2 linked regions of the Ovis aries genome follow. The protein of the gene in region 1 binds, or shares a complex with, the protein of each later gene. Links are inferred from orthologs where the notes say so. Each region holds a gene or a part of one and is shown on either strand. Other genes may lie near its edges.

Evidence for each region.
Region 2: the proteins of BBS7 (region 1) and ARL6 are in contact, whole or in part, in a cryo-EM structure (PDB 6VBV), measured with the Bos taurus proteins. The link is inferred for Ovis aries from reciprocal best matches to the Homo sapiens genes BBS7 and ARL6. Residues at the interface, in NP_001178275.2 of Bos taurus: Leu3, Ile249, Val250, Gly251, Asp300, Gly301, Tyr302, Asp303, Thr319, Glu320, Pro321, His323, Lys324, Glu325, Ser326, Gly327, Pro328; in NP_001069250.1 of Bos taurus: Met132, Asp133, Arg135, Thr139, Ser140, Val141, Ser144, Trp157, His158, Ile159, Cys160, Ala161, Asp163, Lys166.

Annotation. Positions count from the first base shown.
Region 1 is NC_056059.1:3,708,872-3,716,619, reverse strand, and holds the start of BBS7 (Bardet-Biedl syndrome 7 protein), read right to left. Parts: upstream 4,097-7,748; 5' UTR 3,966-4,096; coding exon 3,930-3,965; intron 1,183-3,929; coding exon 1,117-1,182; intron 1-1,116.
Region 2 is NC_056054.1:162,973,779-162,981,079, forward strand, and holds part of ARL6 (ADP-ribosylation factor-like protein 6), read left to right. Parts: intron 1-1,769; 5' UTR 1,770-1,796; coding exon 1,797-1,919; intron 1,920-7,301. UniProt on the Homo sapiens protein: Involved in membrane protein trafficking at the base of the ciliary organelle. Mediates recruitment onto plasma membrane of the BBSome complex which would constitute a coat complex required for sorting of specific membrane proteins to the primary cilia.

The DNA of each region.
Region 1 (7,748 bases):
GTGTCCATTAATAGATGAATGGATAAAGAATACTACTCAGTCATGAAAAAGAATGAAATTTTCCCATTTGCAACAACATGGATGGACTTAGAGGGCATGATGTTTAGTGAAATAAGTCAGACAGAGAAAAACAAACCATATATCATTTGTATGTGGAATCTAGAAAACACAACAAATTAGTGAATATAACAAAAAGTAGCACAGTCACAAATACAGAAAACAAACTGCCAGGGGTTACCAGTGGGGAGAGGGAAGGAAGAGGGTAACACAGGAGTAGGGATTAAGAGATACAAACCAGTATGTATAAAATTAGGTACAAGGATATACTATATAACACAGAGAACAGAGCCAATATTTTATAATAACTATAAGTGGAATACAATGTTTAAAAATTATGAATCACTATATTGCATACCTCTGACTTACATAATATTGTATACCAACTATATTTCAATAAAAAATAAACAAAATAATAAAATGATCTTAAAAATACTATAAATGAGTCCTAAGACCAAAAAAGTTTGAAAAGTGTTGCTTTAGTAGACTGAATACAATAAATGATAATCAAAAATCTGTTGATTTATCTTGATAAAATGTATTATATGGTAATACTGTATTTATTTTGCAGCTATTAAAGAATCCCATTAGTATACTAAGAAATTATATTGTCTTACAGAAATTTCAGGATTAATATTTCTATAAAAAATCAATATTGTTTGCTAAATATAAAGTTTAAAATAAAAATTACTCTTAAAAATATGACAAAGTTTTTTAAAAGTATTTTCTCTACAGCATATTGTGTTTTATATTTCTTTTTTCATATATACAATCTGGTATGCACAAGTACACTCAGGGAAAATTATTCCCAGAAAAATGGAACATGGTTTTCAACTAGTTTGCTAATACTATTTACTGATTGTACATGATACTTATAATGTACAAGAAAATTACTGTATATAAGTGTCCCTTGGTATTCCAACCTCTGTTCAAATTAACAGAAATCTATTTCCACTTTAGCTTTGAAATTTAAAAAACACTTGTCAATAAAGAAGAGAATATAAACCTCTCCTCTGTAAGAGCTAGAGAGATATGGAGGAATCAGTATCTCTACATTACCTTTTGTGTGGCTCTATGTTTTGAGGCAGGAAGTAGCTTCATAGTCTTCTGAGAGGTCACCCCCACCTAAGGAAACACATCAGCTGCATAGTTAATGTTTTCTAATACACTAATTTAAAGTTATACCTCAAATATTAAAAGGACCAGCAGATTCTAATCATAGTAAGCCTTAGTTTTTTCATTACAATTAGTGATATAAAATAATTCTTATCAGAAGTGAACTTATTTTCTAATGAAATATGCCACAAAAGTCAGAATATAGGAAACAATCAAAAACAGTAAAATTCATGCTATACAGTTGTCAAGTCAAATATAATTATGTGACATTACTGGCAAGGTACTTCACACGAAAAAATTATATCTAGAAGCCTTTTTTTACAACTTCAGACAGCTGTTAAAGAAGAGTTTGTATTGAAAAATCTTTAGAAATAGATTATTATTGAAAATGGAATAGAGAAGATTTTTGCTAAGACACCAACATGCTGATGACAATGACATCCAATCTAACTGATGATGAAGATTATTTTACAAAGGATACAGAAGTTGAAAACAGCATGGTTTGCTCAGCAGAGAAATGTCAGCCGTTGGGCATGGTTAGGGGAGGAGAATGGGACCAAAGGGAGAGAAATTGAGACAACAGACCATGAAAGAATTTACATATTGTACATACAGATCTATTCTGTTATTCTGTATTCTATGGAATAGTGTTAACGTTTAAACTAATCTACTTAGATTTGTATTTTTGAAACATCAGTCTAGCCACTGTTGTAAAGTATGGGTTGGAGGGAGAGGAGGATGGAGGCTATTTCCATTATCCAAGAGATGAGGACTGAACTGGGGACAACAGAGATGGAGGGAGAAAATGTGACAGATTCAACAGATACTTCCGAGATAGAAACAGCAAAATGTGGTGACCAGATGGATATGGAAGATATTAAGGTGGGATCATGAGAAACACTGGGCTGGAAGAAGCACAAGCTGGAATCAAGATTGCCAGGAGAAATATCAATAACCTCAGATATGCAGATAACACCACCCTTATGGAAGAAAGTGAAGAGGAACTAAAAAACCTCTTGATGAAAGTGAAAGAGGAGAGTGAAAAAGTTGGCTTCAAGCTCAACATTCAGAAAACGAAGATCATGACACTGGTCCCATGACTTCATGGGAAATAGATGGGGAAACAGTGGAAATAGTGGCTGACTTTATTTTTGGGGGCTCCAAAATCACTGCAGATGGTGACTGCAGCCATGAAATTAAAAGATGCTTACTCCTTGGAAGGAAAGTTATGACCAACCTAGATAGCGTATTTAAAAGCAGAGATATTACTATGCCAACAAAGGTCCGTCTAGTCAAGGCTATGGTTTTTCCAGTGGTCACGTATGGATGTGAGAATTGGACTGTGAAGAAAGCTGAGTGATGAAGAATCGATGCTTTTGGACTGTGGTGTTGGAGAAGACTCTTGAGAGTCCCTTGGACTGCAAGGAGATCCAACCAGTCCATCCTAAAGGAGGCCAGTCCTGGGTGTTCATTGGAAGGACTGATGTTGAAGGTGAAACTCCAGTACTTTGGCCACCTCATGTGAAGAGTTGACTCATTGGAAAAGACCCTGATGCCGGGAGGGATTGGGGACGGAAGAGAAGGGGACGACAAAGGATGAGATGGCTGGATGGCATCACCGACTCGATGGACGGTGAGTTTAAGTGAACTCTGGGAGTTGGTGACGGACAGGGAGGCCTGGCGTGCTACAATTCATGCGGTCACAAAGAGTTGGACACTACTGAGTGACTGAACTGAACTGAACTGACCGTGGTAATTATCTGGCGTAAGTCTCAGGTAAAGTGGCAGGATAAACATTTGTACCATTAGCCAAAAGAGGATTACTGGGAAAGGGGATGGAGAAGACGGAAAGTCTACGGCTGAAATACTGAGAGGCAGGGTGGTATAACAGAAAAGGCTTTGCTTCAGATAGGAACTGCATCAGTTTGGCTATTATGAAAATTCCCTTTGATCGTCACGTACCGACTTTTAGAATTTTTGTGAAGGAAAATATATCTGAAGTTCCAATACTTTGGCCACCTGATGCTAAGAGCTGACTCACTGGAAAAGACCCTGATGGTGGGAAAAACTGAGGGCAGGAGAAGGGGATGACTGAGGATGAGATGGTTGGATGGCATCACCGATTCAACAGACATGGGTTTGAGCAAGCTCCAGGAGACAGTGAAGGCAGGGAAGCCTGGCATGTTGCATGCAGTCCATGGGGTCCCAAAGAATCTGACACGACTGAACGACGAACAACAATATAATATATGCACAAAAGGTAAGCTCTGAGAATAAACCAGACCCTCGAAAACGGCTACCATTGCTTTTATTACTGTCCGGGTAGCCAGGTCCAGCTCACAGTAAGAAATAAGTGTCTGGCCCGTGGGACACGAGACTGGGTAGAGAAGGAGAGTCAGGAGTTTGAAGCCCACAGGTAGCTGCAGCCAGGAGGGAGGAGAAGGAAGGGCCTTGGGGAGGAATCCCGGATTGCGTCAGGACACTCAGAGCATCTTCAGGACGCCGGCACACGGGGGCGGGGGCGGGGGCAGGGCGGTGAGGCGGGGGGTGGGGGGGGCGGTTCTCCTCCTTTCCAAGTGCCCGCGGACCCGCCCCGCAGGCAAGCCTGTGCGGAAGGCGTCTGGAGGGCTCCACTCACACCCACTCCTTCACCGCTCGGCTCCCACAGACCCCAACAAACGGCAGTGGAAGGATCGAATCCTCTCTTAGAGCGGGGCTCACCACGCGCAGCGTCCGCCCCAACCCCTCAGGTTTACCTGCAAATAATCCGCTCGGTTTAGGTTCAGATCCATGACGGCGGCACGGACGCGGCGGACAGCGCCAGGCCGGCCTAGGTGGGTCAAGGAGTGTGGTATCCCAGGCCTCAGGGGAAACTGCTCGCGACTCCTTTGAGGGTAACGCCAGCTACTGTGGTGGGTTCAGTGGGGGATGCAAGGGCGGAGCGTCAGGGCAGCGGCGTCCTGCGTGACGTCAGGTCGTTCCTGCGAGTGGGCTCTGTAGGGCATGAAGCCACGCCCACCTCCCGACAGGCCGCCCACTGACTGACCCCGCTCCAATGAGAGGCGGAGAGGAAAGGAGGGCCGGGTTCAGGAGCCCTGAGAAGCGTGGTTTCCAGGGAGACCAAGACGCAGAGGAGCTACGATGCCACGACTGCGCTGAGTCCCAAGTCTTTGTCTTTGTGTGTGGAGCACTGACTTGAAGCCAGGGTAGATTCTGACCTGTTTCACCGCCACTGAAAAGGCTCCCTCAAAGAAATATGTTTCATCGCCGTAGGAGTTAGTTTACAAGGAGCAGTTCTCCAACTTTTGGCCCTAGGACCGCTTCAGTTCAGTTCAGTTCAGTCGCTCAGTCTTGTCCAACTCTTTGCGACCCCATGAACCGCAGCTCGCCAAGCCTCCTTGTCCATCACCAATTCCCTGAGTTCACCCAAATCCATGTCCATAGAATGGGTGATGCCATCCAGCCCTCTCATCCTCTGTCGTCCTCTTCTCTTCCTGCCCCCAATCCCGCCCAGCATCAGGGTCTTTTCAAATGAGTCAGCTCTTCGCATCAGGTGGCCAAAGTACTGGAGTTTCAGCTTCAGCATCAGTCCTTCCAATGAACACCCAGGACTGGTCTCCGTTAGGATGGACTGGTTGGATCTCCTTGCAGTCCAAGGGACTCTCAAGAGTCTTCTCCAACACCACAGTTCTAAAGCATTGGTTCTTCAGTGCTCAGCTTCTTTATAGTCCAACACTCACATCCATACATGACCACTGGAAAAACCATAGCCTTGGCTAGACAGACTTTTGTTGGTAAAGTAATGACTCTGCTTTTTAATATGCTATCTAGGTTGGTCATAACTTTCCTTCCAAGGAGTAAGCGTCTTTTAATTTCATGGCTGCAATCACCATCTGCAGTGATTTTGGAGCACAGAAAAATAAAGTCAGCCACTGTTTCCCCATCTATGTGCCATGAAGTGATGGGACCAGATGCCATGACCTTCGTTTTCTGAATGTTGAGCTTTAAGCCAACTTTTTCACTCTCCTCTTTCACTTTCATCAAGAGGCTCTTTAGTACTTCTTCGCTTTCTGCCATAAGGATGGTGTCATCTGCGTATCTGAAGTTATTGATATTTTCCCCAGCAATCTTGGTTCCAGCTTGCGTTTCTTCCAGCCCAGCATTTCTCATGATGTACTCTGCATATAAGTTAAATAACTAGGGTGACAATATACAGCTTTGACGTACTCCTTTTCCTATTTTGTAAAGGACGCTTTTACAAAACTCTTACAAACTGTTGAGGACCCTAAAGACATTTGTTTATATGAATTATCTGTTGATACTTATGAAAAAGAACTAAATTTCTAAAAATAATATTGAAAAGATAATGAACTCATTATGTATATATTTTAATGAAAAAGCATTCTTTTCCAAAATAAAAGTAAAAAGACTGGCTTTGTTTGCAAATCTATTGACTGCCCACCTGAAGAGTAAGCAAGGATGTCCCGGATCCACTTCTGCATACAATTTATTGGTATATGTAGTTTTTGTTGTTTTTTTTTTTTTTTTACTGTAAGTATATGAAGAAAATGAGGCCCAAACTCAACAAGTGGTAGTTTTGAAAAGTTAGTTGCAATGTGGAATGCGGCTTCATTTAACAAACAGACTTTTGAGCATGTTGTGTATGTCATCAAAGATTCCATCAGAAAAAATCTGAAGTGTTGGAAAGTTGTCAGCCTCAGATGATGGACACAAATTTTTGCAAAATTCTAATTTGTGCTTAAAAGTTTGAATTTTAAGCATTGGCAACAAATGTCAATTATTTTCCTTTAAATGATAGTTTCACTTCTTGAATTAATAAGGAAGTATATGCCAAGTATCCAAGTCTAAATAATCATAATTTGCCTGTCAGTCATGCTTTCAAAAAAAATGTACCATGGAAAAAAATCAGTGAATTCAGCCAGAAACTCAAATAATCTTACACGTAGTTTTCCTTGAAACAACTAATGTACTTCTGTATTCGCTAGAAATTCTCTGTGCAAACTTCACATATCACCCCACAGAATATTGAAAAAGATAATTCAGCATAGAGACTTAAAATTAACTATTTCCACTGCTTCATAAAGGACGTTTTTATTAATACATGAAGCATTGTTTCTTGTTGGTAACAAAGGGATGAAGAATAAAATGACTGCAACAGTTTAAAGCCCTTGCCTTGATGCATGCTTAAGTACCAGCACTATTAACCCTTGTTTTTGTACCGTCAGTACAAATGTCAACGCAGTGAAAAAGGCAAATAGAATCTTAGTATTATGAAAATACCTTCAAAATCACATATCTCCGAAAAGGCCTAAGGAATCCTCACACTGCTGCTGGCCTATAGTGGTGATCCAGGATCTGAGCACTGACATTCCTTGACTGACTTCCACCAGTCTGTCCTTTGTGCCTGTCATACTCTGCCTGCAGACATACTGCAAATGAATAAGTGGTCTCTGAGGTCTATGAGGAGAGGGTTCACAAACGATTTCTGTGGCTTACTAAGGACAGTTCAGAGATGTTTGTGAAACAAAAATTAATCCCTTGAGAAGAGTTTCTTAAGAAAAAAAAAAAAATGATTTCCTACACAGAGATCTGAGAAGGTTCTACCTCGGTCCCAGGGTATTACGGACAAATTTTTTTTCTGAGGCTAAAATAACTCTGTATGGAAATATACAACAATGCTTGAAGATGGTTTAGCTGTGCAGCAATTTGGAGAAAATATCAATTTAGACTCAATAAAAATACATATACGTTGTAGAAGCAAATAGAAAAATAAAGCCATGAAGAAGATGAAATAGAATAGTTACAGAATTTTATGGAATGTAGGGGGTTGGAAGGTATATTAGTTAAATAGGGCCTCCATATTAAAGTACTAGGAACTGAGTGGCTTACAAAACAGAAACTTATTTTCCTGTAAGACCTCACAGGCTAGGAATACAAAATCAGTGTGTCAGCAGGGAGCCAAACCAGTTGCGGAAGGCATTTTTCTCCTTGGTGCATACGCTGGCGTCTTCTCGCTGTGTCATCACGTCGTCTTCCCTCCGTGTTCTTCCGTGTTCTAATCTCCTCTAATAAGGACACAGTCATGAAGGATAAAGAATCACCCCAGTGACCTAATTTTAACTTAATTATCTCTTTAAAGGTCCTTTCTCCAAAAACAGTCACATTCTGAAGTAGTAGGGGTTAGGACTTCAACAGATGAATTTGGAGACGAGGAGGGAAGCAGAGGGGACACAATTCAGCCCATAACAGAAAGAAATCTGTCTCATCTTAAAAGGAATAGAACGATCCCAACCGCAAGGGGGCTGGTCTGCGGGAGTTCAATGGCTGCCTCTCAGAGGACATGTGGGAGAAGGGGTTGGGAGGGGAAGCAGGGGCTCTGGCAGTTAGAAAGCGACCACTGGATGTCAAAGAAAAAAGAATTTTTATAACAACAACAAAAGGGATAGAAGCCACAAAGGAGAAAACAGTATGAAAAATAAAGATTAGACATTTCATATGTCACAAAATTTTAAAATATAAAAATAAATGGGATAAATGTGTGCAGTTAGTATTCT
Region 2 (7,301 bases), on another chromosome or scaffold:
CTAACTTAAAGTAGATTCTACAAATGCCTGTCCTTAAGCTGAGATTTAAAGGAATGGATTGAGTGAGATTTGAATCTCTACCACAAGGAGCAAAGTCGATTCAAGCAACACAAGCAGAGTATCTCAAATGAAACCCATCCCTTGGGTAAGACAACCATGGCCCTGTGTTTGGTTAGGGCACTGCAACTTCCCTTCTGCGCATCACTTTCCAATTTCAGTTTTGAAATTTCTGTTCATAATGATCCGTGAAGGGGCCTAACCGAAACTGATGATGCAGCCTCCTTTCAGATGTAGTTGTCTTGGAAACTTCTTATTTCAAGTTGCTGCATCCTCACATCCTTCAAGGTATGGTCTTGCCTTTTTGGTATGGAATAAGCAATACTGAAGGAGCTGTAAGATGGCAAGTTTCTAGATAGAGATGAGACTAGTATTTAGAGAACTTTGAAAATGGTGGTTTGGAGAGTAATAGGAAATGTTTAGAATACAGGTATATAGTGGTTACTGCCGTAGCAGTCCCTGTCACAGTTGAGGGCTGCCGAAAGAGGTATGTATCTCTCTTCTCCCACCACAGTTTAATGTTTTGAGGGACTGGGATGGTGGTTTCCCCAAAGGAAGTACCTTTGGGGATTTTCATTTGGAGATTTGAAGTCTAAATCTAACAGTACCTTGGAAGGGTATGAATAGCCATAAAGTTATCACATAGCCAGCCATATGTCATCAGTAATTTTACTTGACATCAAAATACTTACACATTTGCGTTGCTGATGGAGTTTTTTTGAAAGTTTGCATTTGAAGGATTTTTTTTCAAAGAATTAATAAATGAATAGGGACTTCAGGAACAGATTAACAAGGAAATCTTTATAGTATTTGAGAAAAGGAGATTAAAATGTAAGATGGGTATTTACGCTCATATTCTTCACTAGTACACTAGTTAAAATTCTTTTAAAAATACTTAACAGATAATTTCATATAAGTTATAGTTTCAAAGAAACAAAAATGTATTAAGGTTCAGTTTGTGTGTATGTGTTTTATTTTTTTTAATTTTTATTTTTACTTTATTTTACTTTACAATACTCAGTTTGTATGTATATGTTTTATACATAACCTTCCCAAATGGATTTGTGTTGACTTACAAAACTACCAAGATATGTGAGGACAAAGAAAAAGTTAAGATGAAGATAAATCAGGATTTTTTGTTTCTGTCTGAACTGAATATAGTCAGCAAACAAAAATGGTGAATTTAATATTTATTACCTCATATTATTGCAAAATTCAACAATGGGATTAGCTTTAGAAAAAGATTTAACCAGTGAACTCAAATGAGGCAGCCTAAAATTTCAGTTTTTTTGTTATTCTGGTCTGCCTTCTACTTTCTATTTGAGCAGCAGGCTCCATATGAACATCACTACCCATATATTTCCAGATTTCCAGAAAAGGCTGCAGATATTCTCAAGTATCACAAATGGTAGACTCCATAGGATACTAAATAAATCACATTTTGTTCTTAAGTATTATAAGTTACAATAAGAAATGTACAGTTATTTCAAGGGCATTATTCTGTGTTGCTGGGGGTTATTAGCTGCCAATCTGCATTTCAGTTAAGACTCCTTTCTGGTAATCAGCTTAAACTCTGTTTACTAAATGCAAAGCTACATTGACATGGTTTTCACAATATCACTGACTTTAAATTCTAAAAATTTGGGGTACATATGCTTATATTCTCCATATTTAAGATGCCCGTGTTAATTTTTTTTCCCCCTGACTTGCAGTTGATTTGTGAATCCTTGCCTCACATTATGGGATTGCTAGACAGACTTTCAGGCTTGCTTGGCCTCAAAAAGAAAGAAGTTCATGTTTTGTGCCTTGGGCTGGATAATAGTGGCAAAACAACAATCATTAATAAACTTAAACCTACAAATGTAAGTATATTTATTAGATACATTATGTATTTTCTGCTAAAGCTAATGGAGGATTATTTTGTCTGTCATTGTAACATCATTGTCACATTATGAAATCTTATTAAATTTGTGATACCTTTAGTAAAGTAATAAGTATCAGCCAGCCATAACATGAAGTGTATTTTATGCTGATATGTAGGTAAATCTTGACTATTTAAACTGGAATATTCTCCAAATGCCTTTCCTTCTCAAAAGCTCTTCAAAAATTTGTGGAGTTTACGTTCAGGTAGCATTGCCTTCGTTTTGACTTTCTCTTTACAAGAGGAGCAAAACAAAGGGAAAGGTGGATCATTTTTACAGATTCTGTGGATAATTAGCCAGTTTCCCAAGAGTGTTACGTGCGTATCGGTAGTAGCAAGCAAGATGACTTTAAGTCATGTAAGTCATAAGTACATGAATGTATTATTTAAATAAGTGAAATATATATATAAGCTAGCACATTCACCACATAATGTATGAGTTATGTTGTGCTGTGTGCCCAGTCGTGCTGTGTGCCCAGTCTTGTTTAACTCTTTGCAACCCCATGGAGTATAGCCTGACAATCCTCTGTCCATGGAATTTTCCAAGCAAGAATACTGGAGTTGGTTGCCATTTCCTACTCCAGGGGATCTTCCCCACCCAGGGATCAAACATCTTGTACCTCCTGCATTGGAAGGCTGATTCTTTACTACTGTGCCATCTGGGAAGTATAAGCTACAATTAGGTTCTGCTTTATATAAAGAAAACCCGCATAATGGTGGACTGAAGATGGAGGGTTCTTTTTCTGTCATCTCAGTGAGTCCAGAAGAAATATTCCAGGGCTGGTGTGGCAGCTGCATGGTCCAGGCACCTTCCATCTTTCCTCTCTGCTATCCTTAGTGCCTGATTTTCTTCAGGGTCTTCGGAATCTCCACATGGCCATCTTAGTTAACTATCCTCAGTTCAGTTCAGTTGCTCAGTTGTGTCTGACTCTCTGCGACCCCATGTACTGCAGGATGCCAGGCCTCCCTGTCCATCACCAACTCCTGGAGCCTACCCAAACTTATGTCCATTGAGTTGGTGATGCCATCCAACCATTTCATCCTCTGTCGTCCCCTTTTCCTCCTGCCTTCAATCTTTCCCAGCATCAGGGTCTTTTCCAGTGAGTCAGTTCTTTGCATCAGGTGGCCAAGTATTGGAGTTTCAGCTTTAGCATCAGTCCTTCCAAGGAACACTCAGGACTGATCTCCTTTAGGATGGACTGGTTGGATCTCCTTATAGTCCAAGGGACTCTTGAGAGTCTTTTCCAACACCACAGTTCAAAAGCATCAATTCTTCAGCACTCAGCTTTCTTCACAGTCCAACTCTCACATCCATACGTGACTACTGGAAAAACCATAGCCTTGACTAGACAGACCTTTGTTGGCAAAATAATGTCTCTGCTTTTTAATATGCCGTCTATATCTTAAGTTGCAGGGATGGGAAAAGAACAAGCAAAAGAATAAGTCTTCCTGCCAAATAAGTCCTCTTTAAGGAACTTACTCAGAAGCCTCAACTACCTATTCTTTCACCTCACTGGCTACCCTATCTGTAAATGAGGCTGGATTTTTTTTTTTTTTTAAAGCAGGACATATTGCTGCTTCCATTAGTAATAGGGGTCCTGTAAGTACGAAAGAGGGGCTTCCCTGGTGGCTCAGTGGTAAAGATCCCACCTGCCAGTGCAGGAGAAGTGAATTTGATCCCTGGGTTGTAAAGGTTCTATGGAGAAGGAAATGGCAACCCACTCCAGTATTTTTGCCTGGGAAATCCCATGGACAGAGGAGCCTGGCAGACTACAGTTCATAGGGTTGCAAAGAGTTGGACTTGACTTAGTGACTAAACAACAACAAAGTATGAAAGAATAGGAGAGTAGATAGAGGTAAACAGTTAACATTGACAGTTGTAAATACTTTTATCTAGATAAAAACCATTAGTCAATCAATGGAAAATGTTGATGAAAAAATATATAGCCTGCATATAAATTGAGCTGCTGCTGCTGCTAAGTCACTTCAGTCATGTCCAACTCTGTGTGACCCCATAAACAGCAGCCCACCATAAATCGAGCAGATGTTTCAAAATTAGGAAACTAGTGCTCTTAATGACTGACAGGCTGGATAGTAGGAAGCATTTCTCCTAAATATGGTAATTGAAAGTGGACTTAATTGCCTCCAAATAGTGCTTCAGGTTGGGCAGAATAAGAACTCCTACTGTCCCCCACCACCTTTTCCCCAACAGCTTCATTTTTACTTCTGTTTAGTTTGAGATTGCTCTCAAATTACAAAAATGCCATCATTTCTTTTCTTGTGGTCATCATTCCCTTCTTCCACGTGAGAGAGTTTGCCATGTGAAACAACTAACTACTGGTGTATTTTCAAATGGCAGTTAGTTTGAGGCAGCTGGGATAAGAAGTTGAAAATGGAGTTAGAAGGTAATTTAGGTGTTTTAAGGGGCTCTCCAGTCAAGTTGGAAATCAGCTGAAATAGATGCGCTAAAATCAGAGATTAAAAAAAAATTCCAGTTTTATTGAAATACTAATTTTGGAGGGCAAGGTTTAGTTCTGGCCAGAGGACTTGCTAACACTGTCTTGAGTTATGATTCATGTCCTAGAATTCAAGCTTTCCTCCTTAGGGAAATACCCTGCTTGTCTAGGTTTGCTGCTACTGCTACTGTCGTGTCCGACTCTGTGCGACCCCATAGACGGCAGCCCACCACGCTCCCCCATCCCTGAGATTCTCCAGGCAAGAACACTGGAGTGGGTTGCCATTTCCTTCTCCAATGCATGAAAGTGAAAAGTGAAAGTGAAGTCTCTCAGTCGTGTCCGACTCTTAGCAACCCCATGGACTGCAGCCCACCAGGCTCCTCCGGCCATGGGATTTTCCAGGCAAGAGTACTGGAGTGGGGTGCCATTGTGTTCTCCCCTACCCACTTGAATGGAGTCCAGATTGAATTTAGAGAACCATACCCAGCTGTGGTTGGGTCCATAATTAGTTCCACGGATGGTTTGGCTGTCAGTGGATCAACCTGGGCTAATATTAAGAAACTTAGCGGCTGGTGATGTGCAGCACTTCTGCAGGTAAGCCTAGTAGCATAGGGAGCAAGATTATAAGGAAGTTCTTCAGGTAAGGTCCTATTCTATAAGAGAGATTTCCATTTTTTTCTACATCCAGGAATATCTTCAAAAGAAATTTTTTTGTAAAAGTTGTGTCAAATAAATACAAAATTATGGAAACCAGAGCCACAGTTAATAGTACCAAAGTGTGTCAGCCCCCTGGTGCCTACTGTACTCAGATTGGCAGAAATGACATTCAAAGAACAAAATGGAAATTATGTTATCTCTTTCCATCATCCCCAACAGTATAGTGATCTTCTGTCCCAAGACATGGTTATTACTGTAGGAATAATCTTTGATATGGATGGGAACAGCTTTCTTCTCTAAACATTATTGATCATTTGGGGCAGCAGGGGAAGGAGGCATCTTGAGCTCAGTCTACCATCTTAAAATATCTAATATCCCAATTTCAGACTAGTCCTGTGCAAGACCTGCTGACCCTGCCTAACACATTATACTAGTCAGGGAGAGCCCTCAGGAACATCTGGGCATGCAGCCAATTACTGAGGCTTTTTAATTAATCTTTTGTTTTCCAGCATATGCATCTCTCTGCTACCACTGGTGAATTATGGAACTAGCCTAGACTAACTCCAGGGCTATTTTTAAGGGGATCATCTAATTTCTGACACCACTTTCTGAGCGTTAATCTTTAGGCAACTATCCTGTCTCCTCAGAGCAATTGACCTCTACCTTCTGAGAGCAGAGTAAGTTGTTTTACTTAAAAACAACAACAACAACAACTTCATGATTATAGCCAAGAGGACACTTGAAATGGGACTTCTTAAAAGCCCTAAAACCTGTCACCCAGGCACAGATAAAACACTTGCTTCCTCCGTACCTTTGAACCCAAGAACAGTCTCTTGTGAGCTTATATCCACTATGAGAAATATTATTTTTAATGAATTGAGGTGAGTAATAGAAATCAAAAAGCAGAGACATTACTTTGCCAACAAAGGTCTGTCTAGTCAAGGCTATGGTTTTTCCAGTAGTCACGTATGGATGTGAGAGTTGGACTATAAAGAAAGTATAGCGCCAAAGAAGTGATGCTTTTGAACTGTGGTGTTGAAGAAGACTCTTGAGAATCCCTTGGACTGCAAGGAGATCCAACTAGTCCATCCTAAAGGAGATCAGTCCTGAGTGTTCATTGGAAGGACTGATGCTGAAGCTGAAATTCCAATACTTTGGCCCCATCATGCAAAGAACTGACTCATTGGAAAAGACCATGATGCTGGGAAAGATCGAAGGCAGGAGGAAAAGGGGACGACAGAGGATGAGATGGTTGGATGGCATCACCGACTCAATGGACATGAGTTTGGGTAAACTCTGGGAGTTGGTGATGGACAGGGAGACCTGGTGTGCTGCAGTCCATGGGGTCGCAAAGAGTCAGGCGCCAGTGAGCGACTAAACTGAACTGAATAGAAATATATGATCCTCTATTAGGAAATGTCTTGAAAGAAATTACAAGTCTCATTTTATAGTAAAATAGTCTCTTATATGTTTTTGCAGAGGGATAAAGTCAGTTTCTAGATAACTAGATACTTCCTGCATCCAAACTGGTTTTTAACATTAAGCTCTCTTAATGTTCATTTGTTGTTAATATGTTAAAGTTGCTGATCTTTTCTAAACTGATAAGGAGAGAAAAGAGGTAATTTTAACCTGATAACTTTTCAAGAATCTAGTCTTAGTGTCATGCTAAGAGATGTGCTCTATTAACACCTTTCTTCTAAAATTCTAACTTTTGCCCCATTCCCTAACATAAACGCTCTCATTCTATCTTGTCATCCAGTTTTATATTCTTAACATTTAAAACAATCTGAAATTGCTTCATATATTCAGTTGATCAGTTATTACATTTTCTTCATCATAAAATTAAATTCATAAGAGCATAGATCTTACATTGTTCAATAATGTTGTTTTAGTCACTAAGGCAAGTCTGACTCTTAGCAGCCCTATGGACTGTAGACTGCCAGGCTTCTCTCCGTGGGATTTCCCAAATACCTAGAATATTTCTTGATAGTTAAATGTAATTTTGTACAAATGGACTGATGGGTGATTTTTTAATTTTCATTTTTGGGCAGGGAATGATTATTAATCATACCAAGGATATCATTTTCAACAGATTTAGTAAAACTTACCAAATAGGGCCTCTCTTGAAAACCTTGTTCTAGTCTTACTGATACTGGTCTATTACTGGGTTGTCTCAGATGGCCTAATCCACTTAGGTATTAATTCCTGCA